Linked DNA regions of Astyanax mexicanus. The protein of the gene in region 1 purifies or fractionates together with the protein of each later gene. This does not show direct contact. Links are inferred from orthologs where the notes say so. Each region holds a gene or a part of one and is shown on either strand. Other genes may lie near its edges. The genes, in order: rcc1 and ranbp1.

What was found.
Region 2: the proteins of rcc1 (region 1) and ranbp1 purify together in Homo sapiens (affinity purification with mass spectrometry; 3 studies listed by BioGRID and IntAct, counting the BioPlex papers as one, with this or other methods). This does not show direct contact. The link is inferred for Astyanax mexicanus from reciprocal best matches to the Homo sapiens genes RCC1 and RANBP1.

What each region holds. Positions count from the first base shown.
Region 1 is NC_064413.1:32,419,326-32,428,243, forward strand, and holds the start of rcc1 (regulator of chromosome condensation), read right to left. Parts: upstream 3,531-8,918; 5' UTR 3,395-3,530; intron 1,635-3,394; 5' UTR 1,621-1,634; coding exon 1,545-1,620; intron 1,420-1,544; coding exon 1,232-1,419; intron 991-1,231; coding exon 811-990; intron 400-810; coding exon 303-399; intron 216-302; coding exon 93-215; intron 1-92. UniProt on the Homo sapiens protein: Guanine-nucleotide releasing factor that promotes the exchange of Ran-bound GDP by GTP, and thereby plays an important role in RAN-mediated functions in nuclear import and mitosis.
Region 2 is NC_064429.1:10,914,215-10,923,543, reverse strand, and holds the start of ranbp1 (ran-specific GTPase-activating protein), read right to left. Parts: upstream 3,682-9,329; 5' UTR 3,557-3,681; coding exon 3,542-3,556; intron 1-3,541. UniProt on the Homo sapiens protein: Plays a role in RAN-dependent nucleocytoplasmic transport. Alleviates the TNPO1-dependent inhibition of RAN GTPase activity and mediates the dissociation of RAN from proteins involved in transport into the nucleus.

The DNA.
Region 1 (8,918 bases):
ATAAATAAATAAAATCTCAGACCATTTGTACAGTATATTTATTTGAAATTATGCACATCTCACGCAATCATTGAAATAAAGATAACACATACTTAATCCCTTCCTGCCCCCTCGATTGGCGAAGCGCTCTGGGACTCTCCCTAGCTGGCCCTGTTCTCCACAGCCAGAGGTGTAGATTTCTCCATTCACAGTCAGCATCACCAGGTGGTCATTCCCTTTAGTGCAGAGACAGGAGTGTTTCATTAGTATGGAAGGTGCAGTGTTGGCACTTTATATATGAAACAAAGAAACTGAAACCTCACCTGATGCAATTTTGATCACAGCTTTGTCCAGGGGGACTTTGGTAGGTACGGTACATTTTTTCATAGGTTCAAGAAGACCAATAATACCGTTGTTATCCTGAAAAATAAATAAAGAAATAAAGAAATAAATAAAGAAAGAAAGACAAAGAAAGACAGAAAGAAAGACAGAAAGAAAGGACATTTTTACAGACAAATTTAATACTCAAAACCCTAACCACATTTATAACTGTCCATAGAAAGCAAATCACCTGCTTGATTGGGAAAGTTGACAACACAACACAAAACTCTGATGCAGTAGGTTCCTGTGCCCGTTACATTCTATGTTCATTTTGTTACATTTGGTCCAGAATAACTTTGCCTCATTGTGTGGTCATCACCTGCTTCTCCCTATACCCAACTTTAATCAGTTTGTAGAATGGTGTGCATCAGATGGCAGCAATTAGTTTATAAGTGGCCTTTCCAAAAATGTTTTAAATAAAGACAATTGTTTGATTAAAAGACGCCTTACCCTGAAAGAGCCCCAGACGAAGACCGTTCCTTCCTCCGTCAGAGCAGCAGTGTGGCTATCCCCCGCAGACACCTGCACAATCTTCTCTGCTAGCTCCACCTTAGCCGGAACCATCTCTGTGCCCTCCTCTGACGTATCCCTACCCAGAGCGCCCTCATCATTACAGCCAAAGGTGTAGACCTGCAACGATGATAAACATCATACAAATAACATACAAATGTCATTTTTCAATGTATTTGTGAATAGCGCAAGTGTAAAATCACAATACGACCTTTTGTTTTTGAAAGAAAATATGCTTTAGTGTCTCACTAACACTCTTGTCAAAAGAAGAGGCACCACAACACTAACATCACTATAACAAATTTACATGTGAATTTTTTAAGATTTCTTTAAATAAAATTGTGCAGAGCTAAACACTTACATTTCCTGTGTCACTGAGGCAAACTGTGTGCATGCCCCCTGCCACTGCCTGCACAATGCTTTCTGGGAGATTCACCAGAGCTGGTTTCTTCCTTTCTAGCACATCTTCTCCCAGGCCTAGCTGACCCACATCTCCCTGTCCAAGAACCAGGACCAGTCCCTTTTCTTGTCCATGACTCTTGTGAGACACTGTTTACGAACACAAAAATAATGAAGATTATTCAAATACGACAATTGCACAAGTGTTTTTTAAAAAAAGTAATTTATAAAAAGATCACAATCCAGCAACATTTATTTAAATATGTATATATTACCTTTCAATTTTTTTAAGGCTGCAGAGTCCTCCGCCTCAACCTCTTTTTGTCTCTTTGGGGCTTTTTTAGCAGGCATGGCAGCTCAAAAATCTAAAAAAGAAATAAATAAATAAAATTAATGAATTAATTAAACAACAATCAATAAAGAAAGTTTCTCGTTTTGATCCTCCACATGTTCCCTGAATTGTAATTTCCTAATACACCACATGGTAGAAGCTGATTTCTATGGTTTGCTTTAATGTCTTCTTTGCCTTGTGAGCATCAAATAACTTTTTTCTTCAGAGAGCTGTTCCTGGTTGCTGAATTTAAGCACAAAACTCGAAGAATTTATATTAAAGAGTGGTTTGATATTAAGCGGTGCACTGGAGATAAACTTACTTGCTCCGCTAGCTAAATAACAATAAAACCAAAAAAATTGAAAAAATCTCAGTTGTAATCAGCAGACAAACAATATACATTGGTAATAATTGATATTGGCCCAGAATTCCCACATTAATTATTATTTTTTTTATTTATTTATATACCCAGGATAAGTCTTGAGAAACTTTTGGTTTTATAAGGTTTTATAGGCAAATAATTATTCACACTAAATTATTTTACATTCAAATTTGAATTATAACAATCCAGCTAGTGGTTGAATACTATATAAAATAGATATAAATATATAAAAAAATTGAAAGGATATTACAATTTCTTGCCTCACTATATCTTGCTATATTCTGCCATGTTTAAGTTGTACTTATTCACTGGTTTATAAACTTGTTTATTGGCTGGTTCATAGTATATTCTGATGGACAGTAGCTCTTTAATAGTGCTATGTGCAACAACAAAAATTACATGTCCACTGTAGTGGATGCAGGATCTGAGAGGGTTAAATAAAGTAAAGGACAGAGGGCTGTAAATAACCTTGTACATCTTTTAAAGTGTCTGTATCGCACCTGTGTCACCATGGGCTCCTCTTCGGGGTTGAACAAGGGTATCATTTTATATTCTTCTAGGTATAAATTTGATTAAGTTCACCCCTGTGTTTAAGAGAAGTTGACTGCTTTATCGCGTTTAGCTTAAACTTCCCTTTAGAGATCCTCCTGTAATTCATGAACTCAGTCTCAGGCAGCAGTTTGTCCTCTATTTGTTGGGATAATAAGGACAGTGTGTACAGTAGAGTACAGTCACAGCGCAGCAGCAGGAGGCTGGAGCTCAATGTGCCATTCATTAATGGAGTAAAGTTACAGCTGTTGATCTTTTGGGGCAGTACGCGCTGCTGACTGACGGGCGCTCGTGTTCTACACAAGTGCTGGATGTGTGAACAGGCCACGGGATCAACACAGGGCAGCTCCTGTGTTTTTAGTCGTTTTAAAGGCTCGGGGAGGGACAGGCGGTGGCTAACACAGACTTAGCTGAGCACAAACGGATCCCGCGTCAGGTTTAAACAGCGCCAGTCCCCCCAACGTGGGTCTGTCGGTGTCTGTGGAGGAGCTAGCGTTAGCAGGCTAACGTGGCTAACCTAACTACAGTACAGTTAGCTAACTAAATAACGTTAACTAACTCAAGCTAAAGCACAGAGCGGCACTAAACTCCTCCAACTTCCGGTATTATATGTATTATTTTTACAGCAACACCAACTACCAGCTACTGCTCAAACTAAAGAGGGAAAACTGCAGCTCGCCGGTTCATTAGTTCAGTAGCTAAAAGCCCCAGTGTCACTGAACATACCTAACTAACGCTGGCTAGCTGCAGCTGCTAGCCGGCATGATCCCCAGCCCCGGGCTGCAGGCGCGGCGGTACACAGTGTGGGAGCCGGCCCGCAGTGCTCCTCTGTAAGACTCGTGCTGTTCTAAAGGTGCTCTTACCTCGTAAATCAGCAGGTTAACGGCGGTGTATCGGTCTGTGGCTCGTCTGTCTCTCTCAGCCCGGTCTCCCCGCTCTCTCCTCTGAGTGTGAAAACGAGTTCAGCGCCTCGAGCTTTCATTTATTCCCTGACACCAGAACACACACACCACCTGCTGGAGCGGAGGAGACCCGACACACCAGAGTTGCCAGGTTCGCGTTTTATCCGTCAATTTGGGCTTGTTTTAAAATCCAGTCGCTGGTGGAAATTTAGAGGTGCATTTTTTAGGCTACTTAAAAAAAAATCTAAAGAAAAGGCAAGAACAAAATAGAGTAAGTAAAAGTCTTGTTTGACTGGGATATAAAACTGTTATAATGACTTTAAGGTACATAGCAATATTGATAAATCGTACACTCATAGTTGTTTTGCTAATTGTTAAACGTGTGACAGACAGGCAGTATATTTTTTGCTAGTTTAAGTTTCAGAAAGTGGCTTTTAGACTGACTTAGGATTGATTATTTTTGTTGAACCTGGCAACCCTTCGCCACACTGACCCAGATTCAGAGATGTATAGTAAGGAAGTTGAGTTACTTCACTAAAATGTTGTTTAAATTAGACCAGATAACGATATTGTTTTATAGAAATATTAAAAAATGTTTTTCTTCTTATCGGCTGAATACTCCTTTCCTTTGTACATAAAAGTATGTGTGTCTGATTTGAATCTAAATTTTTATATTTTTTCTGACTCTTTCTTATGGGAACTCTTCTCAAATTAATCTACAATGTTTTTTTTAAGGGAAGGTGGGTTTAAAGAGCACTTCAACTTTTACTTTTTTGACTTGTACTACGTCTGCCCAGATTACACCTACAGTAACTGATGTACATCCTAAAACATAAAACCTCTTTATTAAATACATTTTGAATGGGAATTTACCACATACCTGTCAAGTCTCCCGTTTTGGCCGGGAACCTACCGTATTTTACTCCTCTTTCCCGCCCTCCTCTCGCATTAGTATTTTCCCGTAAATGTCCCGTATTATATTACAATAAAAATATATATATTATTGAGGAGACAGGGCACTGACCGCTCTGTGTCTCTTAACCAATCGTGGAGCCGGTTCAAGGAGAAAGTCCCGCCTTTCAGGAGAAACAGCCAATCAGCTTGCAAAGGAGGGTCAGTGGGGGAAGTTCAGGCAGCTAGTCGGAGCTGCTGATGTTAAAACAGATCTGGATAAACGGCTCTCACTAAAAACCAGGGGTTTCGTGCATGACGTATTTTTGGGGGCGGAGTTGTGGGAAGGCTGTTGTCGTAAGGGGAGGGACTTGAATAGGGTCAAGGAGCATGCGCAGAGAGGAACCCGCACAATTCAAAAGGCTGGTGTGAATCTGCTGCCGAAAAAAGAAACCGCTGGAGCAAGAAAGGTACAGTATAAGCTTTAAAACACATTGTTTGTGAAATAAAAAATGCACGTAACGAATACAATTATTAAAATCTAGGAAGAACAGTGTTTATTTATGGTGCTGTGTAATATCTGAGGCTCAATTCCATTTATTTATCAATGTAAAGCTCCAAAACGCCCCAAAGTTAGCTTTGCTGAACAATATTATTGAATGTACAGCAGTGTTGGGGCATCTGAATCTTAAATTACACCTAATTTAGTTCGATTGAGGTGACCATATCTGTTTAGTATCTTGCTTACATACCTGGTTGGTCTGGGGGGATTTCATGTTAGTTTAGTTCAATCTGATTTATATATATCTGGTATCCAAATACCTGGTTGGTCTGGCGGGTATTTCATGTCAGTGCAGTTTAATCTGATTTATATATATATCTGGTATCCAAATACCTGGATGTTGTGGCGGGTATTTCATGTTAGTATAGTTTAATCTGATTTATATATATATCTGGTATCCAAATACCTGGATGTTGTGGCGGGTATTTCATGTTAGTATAGTTTAATCTGATTTATATATATCTGGTATCCAAATACCTGGTTGGTCTGGCGGGTATTTCATGTCAGTGTAGTTTAATCTGATTTATATATATCTGGTATCCAAATACCTGGATGGTCTGGCGGGTATTTCATGTCAGTATAGTTTAATCTGATTTATATATATCTGGTATCCAAATACCTGGATGGTCTGGCGGGTATTTCATGTTAGTATAGTTTAATCTGATTTATATATATATCTGGTATCCAAATACCTGGATGGTCTGGCGGGTATTTCATGTTAGTATAGTTTAATCTGATTTATATATATATGGTATCCAAATACCTGGTTGGTCTGGCAGGTATTTCATGTTAGTTTAGTTTAATCTGATTTATATATATCTGGTATCCAAATACCTGGATGTTGTGGCGGGTATTTCATGTTAGTTTAGTTTAATCAGATTTATATATATCTGGTATCCAAATACCTGGATGTTGTGGCAGGTATTTCATGTTAGTTTAGTTTAATCTGATTTATTTCACTGCTACTGCTTCTAAATGGGTACAAATGAAGATAATTTTGGTTTCTGTATATATTTTGAGTTATTTGGTTGTCACAGATTTTAAATGCAAAAATAAGGTCAGAAAACATACATTTAAAATCTGACATGTTATCAATTGTTTTAATTATTGCTTGATTTTTTAGATTGCCTGTGACTGATGCAACAAGTGGTTCCACCATTCATGTGTCGGAAACTCACCTGAAGAGGAGGAGTTCCTTTGCCCTTTGTGCAAGATATAAGACAGCCCCTACCAACTAACTCATCCGCTGACCCTGCTTTTAAATGTCATTGCTACCACTGTTTTCCAACAACTCTAATCAGACTTCTTTTTCATTTTATGTTAAAAAAAAACACACCTTAAAGATGTATGTTATAACTTTATTGTAGACTTTGTCACCTGAGGTTGTTTATTTTTTAAAGACAATACCTTTTATAGTTTCCATCAATTACAGTTTGCTAATTCAACTATTTATTTTGACACAGCACATGCTAACCCTCACTTGCTGAGACTAAAGAATGTAAATGAACTTTGTGCCCTTTTTAGATAGAAAAAGCTGGAAAATATGTTCCGCAACGAAACTACATTTAGGTCAATATAATGTTCTCTTTTTGTATACTTCAGAATTTAATACATTTGCTATTTGAGTTTAGAAACAATATGCTCATAAACATACTTTTATTGTTAACATTGTTTTCATGCCTTATATCTAGATTGTATTAAATCCCATACATCTGACACAGAGGCAAACTATGTTCCGACTCAGGATAACTGTAGTCCCAGTGTAAAGAGTTAATGCATGAAAAAATAATTATATAAAACAATGAAAGTGTATCCAATAAAAAAAATAAATAAATACATTTTGGCTAATGTGGTCTCAAACTGAATGTTGTATTATTTTCTACTATATTACACAATATAAATATTAACCAACGATAATCAACCTCTTATGCAAAAATAGTCACTTTATTCACCCAGTTAAAAGAAAGACACTTTATTTTAAACATTTTACATGTGCACTATCAAACATCAAAAGTACTGTGTACAAAAATTATTACTTGAAGTTAGCTATAGAGTGTACAGGGCCACCTCAAATAATTGTAATATCTTTGAAAAGTTACTTTATTTTAGTAATTTGGTTAAAAATGTGAAACTCATTATATAGATGTATTAAACACAGTGATCTATTTTAAGCATTTATTTATTTTATTGTTGATGATTATGAAGCTTACAGCCAATGAAAACCCAAAAATCAGTGCATCAGAAAATTAGAATATTATTTAAAACCAATTGGTACTTTCTGCAGTGTGGGCAGTGTGCCAAGTCCTGCTGGAAAATGAAATCTTCATCTTCATAAAAGCTGTCAGCAGAGGGAAGCATGAAGTGTTGTAATATTTTGTGGGAAAACAAAACTGCACTGACTTTAGACTTGATAATAAAACACAGTTGATCAACACCAGCAGATGACAGACATGTCTCTCCAAACCATCACTGATTGGTGGAAACTTCACACTAGACCTCATGCAGTTTGGACTGTGTGTCTCTCCACTCTTCCTCCAGACTCCTCTCCCTTGATTTCCAAATAAAATGTAAAATTTACTGATGATCAGTGATGGTTGGAGAGACATGTCTGTCATCTGCTGGTGTTGATCCACTGTGTTTTATTATCAAGTCTAAAGTCGGTGCAGTTTTGTTTCCCCCCAAAATCTTACAGCACTTCATGCTTCTTCCCTCTGCTGACAACTTTTATGGAGATGCAGATTTCATTTTCCAGCAGGACTTGGCACACTTCCCACACTGCAGAAAGTACCAATTGGTCTTATATAATATTCTAATTTTCTGATTCACTGATTTTTAGGTTTTCATTTCACACGCTTAAAATATAGATCACTTTGTGTGTAATATATCTTTATAATATACGAGTTTCACATTTTTAACTGAATTACTGAAATAGTAACTTTGTGAGATGGCCCTGTACATTGCAGTCTAAGGTTTACGATGCAGCAAGTTTTTCACTTGCAATAAAGACTAGTATTCGGTTACTGTGGAGCTGGTATCAGAATTAAGAGGAAAAACTGCATGGACATTTTACCAACTTTTCTCTAAAAGACAAGAAGGCACTTGAGTGTGTTCTTGACAGTACAGAAGAAGTTCTGATGGATCTTCATGATTGACTGTTCACACGATCGCCACCTAGAAAAAAATATATACATTTATTTATCACAAAGAAATTCAACAATAACAAGATTTATGACTTATTTGGGGAAAAATCATAGTAAATAAATATAGATTACTACAAAATCACAGTTTTAAACAAAATACACAGATTTTACAACTAACAGAGTAAATGTACCCTGAATATCAGGACCAGTACAAAGAGTAACACAGGCTATTGAGGAATATGAATAAAGTTATTAGCACTATAGAGTGCATGAACATGAAAACGATATAAGATACATATCCTGCACATGAAATACCCACCAGACCAACCAGGTATTTGGATACCAGATATATATAAATCAGATTAAACTGCACTGACATGAAATACCCGCCACAACATCCAGGTATTTGGACACCAGATATATATAAATCTGATTAAACTAAACTAACATGAAATACCTGCCAGACCAACCAGGTATTTGGATACCAGATATATATATAAATCAGATTAAACTGCACTGACATGAAATACCCGCCACAACATCCAGGTATTTGGACACCAGATATATATAAATCAGATTAAACTACACTGACATGAAATACCCGCCAGACCAACCAGGTATTTGGATACCAGATATATATAAATCAGTTTAAACTGCACTGACATGAAATACCCGCCAGACCAACCAGGTATTTGGATACCAGATATATATAAATCAGATTAAACTATACTAACATGAAATACCTGCCAGACCATCCAGGTATTTGGATACCAGATATATATAAATCAGATTAAACTAAACTAACATGAAATACCTGCCAGACCATCCAGGTATTTGGATACCAGATATATATAAATCAGATTAAACTATACTAACATGAAATACCCGCCAG
Region 2 (9,329 bases), on another chromosome or scaffold:
AACCTAAACATAAAAAAAAACTTCAGAATTCACCTAAAATACAGCCAAAGACAGCTTTCTAACCCCACTAAAAACCCTCATTACTCTTTGCTCATCGGTGTGGAAATCTTATAAACGTGCACTACTACTGGTGAACCACGCTAAAGTCCCCAGTTTTGTAGAAAGTGTTGGTATTGGTTTCACTTTCTCTGAGAGCCGCTACACGTCTGAGCCGGCCCCGGGGGGCCCTCGACGCCCCGTCGGTTCAGTAGATCTGCAGAATGAAAGGCAGGGGGGATTTAAAGAGCTCAGTCTGTGGATCTGCTTTTGTCTCTGATTTGCTGCAGCAGACAGGCTCCCGCCTGCTGGTACTGAACCACGAGCCCGGACCACGCCAACGCCCGGCGCACCGGAAGAGTCCGGGTTTAACGGGGGTATCGCCACACCCCACCCACCGCCAGAGACCCCCCACACCCAAAACGTGAGGTAGACGATGATCCATCAAACTACTCAAATCTACTCAACTTTACAAATTTTAATTTTCTGATTCACAGAATGCAATTAATGCTACATTCCATATAAACATGGCTTTTGGAAATTTTAGACGCTCATCTGGTGCTAACCTGGGGCATGAAGAGTGAGATATTTTGGTTATATTCACCAAAATACACTGATAAATGAATGCCAAACCAATTTATCTTTAGATAACTGTTTGAAACATTCTGAAATTGTGCAAATTTATTGTAATGTTTAACTACAATGCTGCCAACTCAGGCGAGGTGAAATTTCTAGCTCCAACATCTGACTTCCAAGGTAAACGGAAGACAACAGATGATATGATACTGTTAGAATGCCAAATGTGACACCTGTCCATCTGGTTTCCACACAAAATAGGTTTCTTAGAACAGCTAAAGGCTGATCTGGTGTTCCAGGTGGCTGCTTTATCCTGGTATTTCAGGTAGTCATTATTTAATTTGCTATGGGAACTTGTTTTATGTTAAGTTAAAGGCTGAAGAACAGGGTGACATTCACAGGTGTGTAGACTTCAGCAGGTGAGGTGGTGATTGAGGCGATGGCTGGCCAACAGCACTTACTAGCACAGTATGAAGCAAAAAGTGGTATGTTGTAAGGTAGTAAACCCACATTTTGGGCCAGATTATAACTGTAAAATAAGCAGAATCTGTATGTTTCAGTACAGTGAACCACAATTTTGTGAATCTCATGGGCGTAGGAAAATAAATGTTTAAATAAAATGTTTCCAGAAGATTATGCAGAATGGTTCCCACTTCTAGACAATAGCTAAAAAACATGTTGCTATCTAGTGTTATATGGTGAAACATATGGTGACTGCTATGGAATACAGGTAAGTTGCCCTGTTATTGTATTTTCTGTGGTTTTGATCACATTGGCAGGTAGATGCCTTGTTCTGACATTTGATGTGGATGCTACTGGATTATAAAGTGGGTTACATTAAAGCAGAGACTGAACAACAGGGTAACATTCACAAAAAGTGCAGTCTTCAGCAGGTGAGGCTGTGAACAGAGCTCCTACGATTAGTTGAAAAAAATCAACAGCATCGACTATAAAAAAATGTGTCGACTCCAAATGTTCAATGACTAATCTTTCATTTGCAGAACTACACAAAGTATCGGAGTTCCAGCCTCAACCTGTGTCTCCAAAAGTGTCCAAACACAACAGATTACACATTTACTCGCTAAATAGCAGTACTTTCCAAAGTCAAAGGATGGTATTTAATTGCCACTTTCACTTGTTTCTAATGTTTTAAGTCTACAGAGGCCGTACCCACAGCACGCAGAGACGGAAGGCTTTGCAGAAATAAGTGCTGATTAATTGAGAATATCCAGAAAAGTAATAGTCGGATTAGTCGACTACCAAAATCATCATTAGTTGGAGCCTTAGTTGTGGACCATGGTCACAGAATACTGAATACTGCAATAGCCATTCACTAATTGGAAAAATAACCAGATTAGTTGACTAGTCTAGTACCAAAATAATCTATAAACTGCAAACTTATAAATGTTTATGTTAAAGCATTTTATTGATTCCCAGATTACAGTCTCAGATGGTTACTAGGGCTTTGCCAAGTGATTGTTATCACGACTTAAACCAGGATGCACAAGCTTCTGCATCCTATTCATTCCATGAAGAAAGTTCCAAACATTTTGCTCATGCCTAATTCTAATGTCTTAAAACCTAGACATCCTAGAATTAAATGAACTAGTTTATCCCATCTTAGACCCAATCAGGCTCACAAGGCCTAGTCTCACACCATTACAATAGACTTTCCCTCTCCTTTAGATCCATTGTAGGTGGTCCAAAACTTTGTCTAAACCCAAGAGAGATCATCACCTATAACAAAGCCAAAGACCAGCAACATTACCCAGCAATTATGGTGATTCACCTGCTTTCACCGCCCTCATTAACCCCACCAGTTAACTCCCAGCACCTTCAGAACCACCCACCACTGTACTGGGCTGAACTGGACACCAGTCATCTGAAGCCCATGTGCTCCTCCAGGAGCATGCTAATGCTAAAAAGCTAATGCTAACTGCTAATGCTAAACAAAACATAGCTATTAGTCTTTTTTACTTTTCATTCAAACTCATCGTTGCATTTAGGTGCACTGCAGGTTAAGATACTGGTTACTTTATTTAGTGAGCAAAACGTCAATCAATGAATCAAAAGCCAGCAAGCTATCCATTAGCATTCATTAGCTTTAGCCAATATGTTAGCTTATTAGGCCTTGCAGTTGTATTAGCTAACTTGAGCTAGCTAATGGTGCTCAACAGGTTTGCTATTTAAGCTTACTATTTCAAGTTGGGCCTTTAATTATTTAATCAATTAAATCAAAATAAATATAAAAAACTTTATAAATTAAAAAAATCGCAAGCTTGAGAGGTTGAAGTTTGGTTTGATGCTCGAATTAGCCGGTCCACCTTAACGTTAACTCCCGCAGCGGTTTCATTCTGGCGCCCAGCATTTAAGGTAGAACGGCTAGTTAGTTACGTTAGCTTAGGCAGCAAGCCGACATATAGTAGTTAGCTTAGTTAGCTAGCTAGCTAGGTTAGTTTATTTATTTAGGTACCTTTACATTAACACAAGGATTTAACACTTTAACCAAATAATGACTGCCAATATATTCAACAATAAAATGAAGCTTTAATTAATAAAACCGATTTATTCATTTATTTACAGATACATTAGCTAGCCGCCGCGGCTAAAGCAGAGCTAACCTGCTCGGAAACAGGCGGTAAACCGAGCTGTAGGAGTGCGGAAAAAGCGCATATTAGTTTTACAGCTTTAAAAATCGTCTAAAACAACAAAACGCCACAAATATCAGGGCATTCCCGCCGCCCGCTAGCCCGGGTTCGTGTCCGGTAGCCGGACTGGCCGCTCGCTGCAGTAAAGCAACAGCCGGCTTTTACTATTCACCATCTCCGCTTCCAGCCCAAAAACAGGCGGATTAAAACCATCCTAACGATTAAAAATCGCAGCAGACGGCCGCAGGACCCCCAGACGTTCCCCAGAACACCGTCCTTACCTTAGGATCTGCCATAGTTTTGTGGATGTTTGCGGATTGTTGAGTTTTAGTGGATGTTTTTCGCTCCGGCCGTGAGGAGGGAAGAGGGAGGGAGAAAATGCTCCTGCTTTCGCGCGCGCACTGAACCGGCGTGTCGTCATCGCCGGCACCGGCGGTGACGTCACTTGTAGATTACGTACATCTCCATTAATCGATTAAATAAACGTAAAACAAATCGATAAAATTTGTACTTTTGATTTTAGCGTAGTAAAGTGAGCGGTAAGAGCACAGAAAGTAACACACAAGCATGACGCACCTTCAGTGACATCATGTAAAAATAATAATAATAATGAATAATGAAAATGCGTGGCCACAACTTATTAAAAAGGCACAAAACCCTATACTATATTTTTTCATTTATAGCTGAAAAAAATGTATAAACCTTTAAAAAAACACTTTTATTGCAGTCATTTCCTCCTTCGTGCTATAGGCGAGGATTATGTTATCATGTACTTTGGTTATCAGAGGCACACTGCTCAGCTCAATCAAATCTCCCTTCTGCCCTGCCTCTAAACCCATACATCACACAGTGCCACTCCCATTTGTTTTTTGCATTTATATAATTTGAGCTGAGGGTGGAGTCAGCTAAAATCAGAGGGTTTAGTAACTCTCTAAGGCTTGGGAACTGAAAAAATAATAGCTCTTGGCCATATAAGTCATCCCCACGACCTAATTATCTTGTTCCCACGCTTTTAATAAGTCATGGAAATGCATTATAAGAATCAAGGTTTGAGGAACTCAGGCCCCTGTACGCCCCATGAGAGGTGAGTGGGTCATATCAGAAGAAGTATAATAATTTAGATAGATAATAGGTGATTCTAGGATCAGAGATCCAAGGGTACAGGGCATTATCACACTAAATTTAAAAAAAGTATCAGACAATAACAGCATAAACATTCGTGTTTAATTGGGAAAGGGGATTTTACTGTTTACTGTTATATTTTCATTATTAAAATTCTGTTTAATGATATACTTTCTAAGATTTAAACGTTTTTAGCTTATCAGAGACCCTCCAGTCCACAGGTAAAGTTGCTTAAAGGTGATGCTCAAATAGAAGTAAATCTTTTATACATCAGAGTAAAAGAACACAGCATGGAGTTCTTATGTATAAAAATACTGTTTGTAACTGTGTCTTTGTCCATTTGATACACCATTATGTAACAAGTATTATTTGTTAGCTAGCTAGATTAGCTTTACAGCTAACACAATAATCCACAATGACTGTGAATAAACAACAGGTTTAAAGTATATAGTCTCCTCCAGTTATTTTAAACAGTTTTCTCTAGTAAATTTTAATGATTTCACTCTAATATTGTAATCACCCTAATAAATTATCATCGTTATAATCCCACATCTAAACTGACTGATGGATAAAATCATTAGTATGAGAATAAATGCATGGATGGATACTTTCATGCACATAAAGGTCATAAACTACCCCTCACCCACTGCATGCCTGTGAGGGTTATAAGGGTTATATAACTCTCAGAGAGAGATCTCTGAAGCCTGAAGAACATAAAGGACATCATTTTCAGATCACCCTTATTCCTTTTTTCTCTCTCTCTGAGATCCAACAGGGGGCGCCACGTGCACACAGAAAAGCCCCAGTATAACCAGTATTAGAACTGGCCTGTGGGGTGCAGGCAGGAGGAATGCTGGGAGTACAGGGCCTGTCTCTGTTTATATCTGTCCTTTCTTTAACAGAGGGCAGAAAAGGAGATATATCATACTCCCACCAGTATAACTAAACACACACACTGTAGTCCAGGTCGAACTGTGTGTATATAGCTGTGGAGGACGTCCAGCCCAGCTCGGAGGATGATGATAACAGAGGGTCAGCTGAGCCGTACAGGAAATGATGTGTCCCTGCTGAAAATAAAAACATCCAGGCTGGTTTAAGCTGGTAATCATGGTTAAACTGGTTGACCAGTTTAGATTTAGACCAGTGCAGAATATAGCTGTGGGGATACCACCACTGCATGCCAGTGAGCTACCATGGGGGAGACTGGGATTCAATTCCAAATCTAAAATAAATAAAAATCCAAAAATCAGTGTCTCAGAAAAAAAAAAAACATTGGTACTTTTGGTAGTGTGAGCAACGTGCAACTCCTGCTGGAAAATGAAATCTGCATCTCCATAAAAGTTGTCAGTAGCAGAGGAAAGCTGTAAGATATTCTGGGAAAACAAAACTGCACTGACTTTAGACTTGATAATAAAACACAGTGGATCAACACCAGCAGATGACAGACATGACTCTCCAAACCATCACTGATTGGTGGAAACTTCACACTAGGCCTCGAGCACTTTGGACTGTGTGTCTCTCCACTCTTCCTCCAGACTCTGATCCCTTGATTTCCTTTAAATGAAATGTAAAATTTACTGATGATCAGTGATGGTTTGGAGAGACGTGTCATCTGCTGATGTTGATCCACTGTGTTTTATTATCAAGTCTAAAGTCAGTGCAGTTTTGTTTTCCCACAAAATCTTACAGCACTTCATGCTTCTTCCCTCTGCTGAGAAAAACTTTTCTGGAGATGCGGATTTCATTTTCCAGCAGGAAAAAGTACCAATTAGTCTTATATAATATTCTAATTTCCTGAGACTCTGAGTTTTGGGTTTCCATTGGCTGTAAACAATAATCACTTACAATAAAATAAATAAACGCTTAAAATAAATCACTCTGTGTGTAATACATCTATATAATAATACATAATTTTACAAACTAATCAGTGTGTGTTTAGTATAGGGAGATTCCGCCTATGTAGGAGATGAGGACTAAAAGGGTGTAGTAAAGTTTGAACTGAAGTATGAAACCGGACAAAACTAACTCAACTAAATACATCGCAGAATGTATCACAATATATCAAACACACAATATCCCTAATTGTGAAAAAGAAGAACAATGTTACATTATGTAAATTGAAACACCAATAACACAGCAATAGGCCTCAGACTGCACTCGCAAGTCACAGAGTTTATTTTATTATTTTATTTTTAAATATACATATACTTCTTTTTATTTTAAATACCCCCAAACCCCCCCAAAACCTCCCTCCCTCCCTCCCCACACTCCTTCTCCTCCTCTTTGCACTTGTTTATAACCCCTCCATCCCTCTATAAGAGAAATCACACACCCTCCTAATTGTGCAGCATATTGCTTTTTCTTTTTTTTCTTCTTTTTCTTTTGTTGTTTTACTTTGTTAAGACATCCGCGAACATAAATAAAAAAAAATACTACCTCCTAACTCCTGTAGGGGGAGCCAACGCTACGAAACTCAGAGGTTTTCGTAAGCTAACCAGTTTAGCGAAAATTGGATTCAGATTGGTAACAGCTTGGAATCGAAAGGTGCTCAATTAGTGTAGACATTAATCTGAAGTTTGTTCTTGTATTTTTGCAGTAGAATCTTGGGCTATATCAATGTTAAAATGTAACCAAATAATAAAGACTAAATCATATATGGCTGTGTATATGGTGTTCAGACTGCATGTAAATGGGATTTGTTCCTTAAATCAGATTTGATGATGTATAATGTTCTGATTTGCTGTTGAGTGATGGGATCGGACTTGCCTGTCTTGACATCGCAAACATATCTGCAGGGCATCTAACCATACGATAATATTATGATATTGATTATTCAGCAATCCTAGATACTCAACTCAGAGGATAATACTGTATGGTTCCTCACAGCATCTGCGCTACTAAAGATCCACGTATCAATAATTATCGCATTATCTTTATTTCATCCCACCACTCTGTATCTGAATGTGCTTCTGTTGTTTCAAGGTATCCTCACACTTTTCTTACTCTGAATTTAGTGAAGTCGCTGTTTGTCGCATTGTGAATAATTGACATAAATGATTCGCTAAAATCTGATTTGAGTGTCTACACTGGTCAAATGTGGTTTCTGTTTGTCCACATTATCAAATATCAATCTAGACATCAATATAGCTATCGATTTTTAATCAATGTATGACAAGAATTGGGATTTAAATTGTGATTTAGACTTGGGCAGAACAAGTTATAAATTTGGATATTAGATAAAAATCTACACATGCAGTTAGCATTATGCTAATAGGTGGGGGATAACCTTCCACTGCTAGTTAGCTATAATAGCTTTTTAAGCTCCAGTGTAAAGCTATTACCAAATATATATATAAATCTATATTTTAAGGCTAATTGAACTGTGCAAATTTTCCTCTATTTTTTTTCTTTTTTTCAGCCCCAGTCAGAAACAGGTGAGCTGCTCCTGGACTTCTTCTGAATCCACTAAATTGTTGAAAATGTAATTTTTTTTGTCTGTTTTAACTGGAAATCTCTTGTTTGAAAGTGTGTGTTGTTGTTGCAGTGCACTGTGCTCCTGATTAGCACTTAAACCACGGTTTTGTAGCGTTTTATAGCTCCCGAGTCGACCTGTTTATAACAGAATTATTAAATTACTTTAAAATATCAGTGCCCTCCCCTCTGCTTACACACACTGTTTACTACCCTCCTCCACCCCCCCTCTCTCTGCTGTATCGGCTCGATATAGCGACGCTCCAGTGGAGGAATCTTATCTCTTTCTCAATCTTCCGGCTGCTTTCCTTCTTTCTGGAACGTTCTTTGTCCTTTAGGCTTAAAACTGATGGTGTTCCTTCTCTAAACTGCTCTGTAAACAAACTGGCCAGCTAATATAATTAGCATAACAGGTGATTAGCCTATGCTAACCTGGTCTAGAGCAGGGGTTCTTAACCTGGGGGTTGCAACTTCCAAGGGGACTCTATGAAGGATCAGATTCAGACTTTTCATTGAATTAGACCATTTTACGCTAAATAAAAATAAAAAAATTGGGTGTAAAATTTTTTTTTTCTATTTAGTATGATTTTCATCCATTTTTCCTGTTTAGTTTTTCTTTATTTCTGCACCTCACAACCAAACTTTAAAGGTACAATATGTAATAATTTTTCCTTTATGCAAATATACAACAAACTACCCTCTACTAACAAGCTGGAGGCCCAGAAATGCATTTTACAGCTCATATTCTGCCCTGTACACTTACTAAATGCTTCTATGTATATGAGATTTACATTTTAAGTTATATTGTTGGGTAATATTCACTTTGGCATTCATTATAAATGCATTAAAATACTTATTATTATACTGTATTTTTATGTGAAAAAAAAGTAAATTGAATTATATCATCAGATGAAAAAAGGGAAAAATCTGAAATTCACTAGAAGATTCATTATTACATTTTTTAGTAAATGAAAAAAAAATGTACACCCATTTTCTGTCTATTTTCAAAGTTAGCCTCAAACTGTCATCAATTGTAATTAATTAAGGAGTACTGCTACTACATGCTACTGGAGAAGTAGTATGACCTACTATACTCTCTCTCAGACTCCGGCTGCTGATGGAGAAGCAGCTTGACCCCTAAAAAGTGAGAAAGGTTAAGAACCCCTAATCTAGAAGCTCATTTTTCTGCAGCCAGATCTGCTCTAATCCCAGACCCTCAACTTCATCTCTCAAACCTACAACTCTTAGCTCCACACTTCATCTTCTCAACTGTCCGTCCTCCACTCCTCCACTCCTCCATTCCTGCACTCCTATTGGCCGAACAAAGGGCAGCAATCCGACCAGTTCCACGCAGACGAGGTCCTATAGGTGCTGGCGTCTGATTAGCCATGACCGGTGCAGGCAGACTGAAGGGCAAAGTGAATAACGGCACTAGAGGAAAACTCTTTAGTCACAAGGCATGCATGTTACACCCTC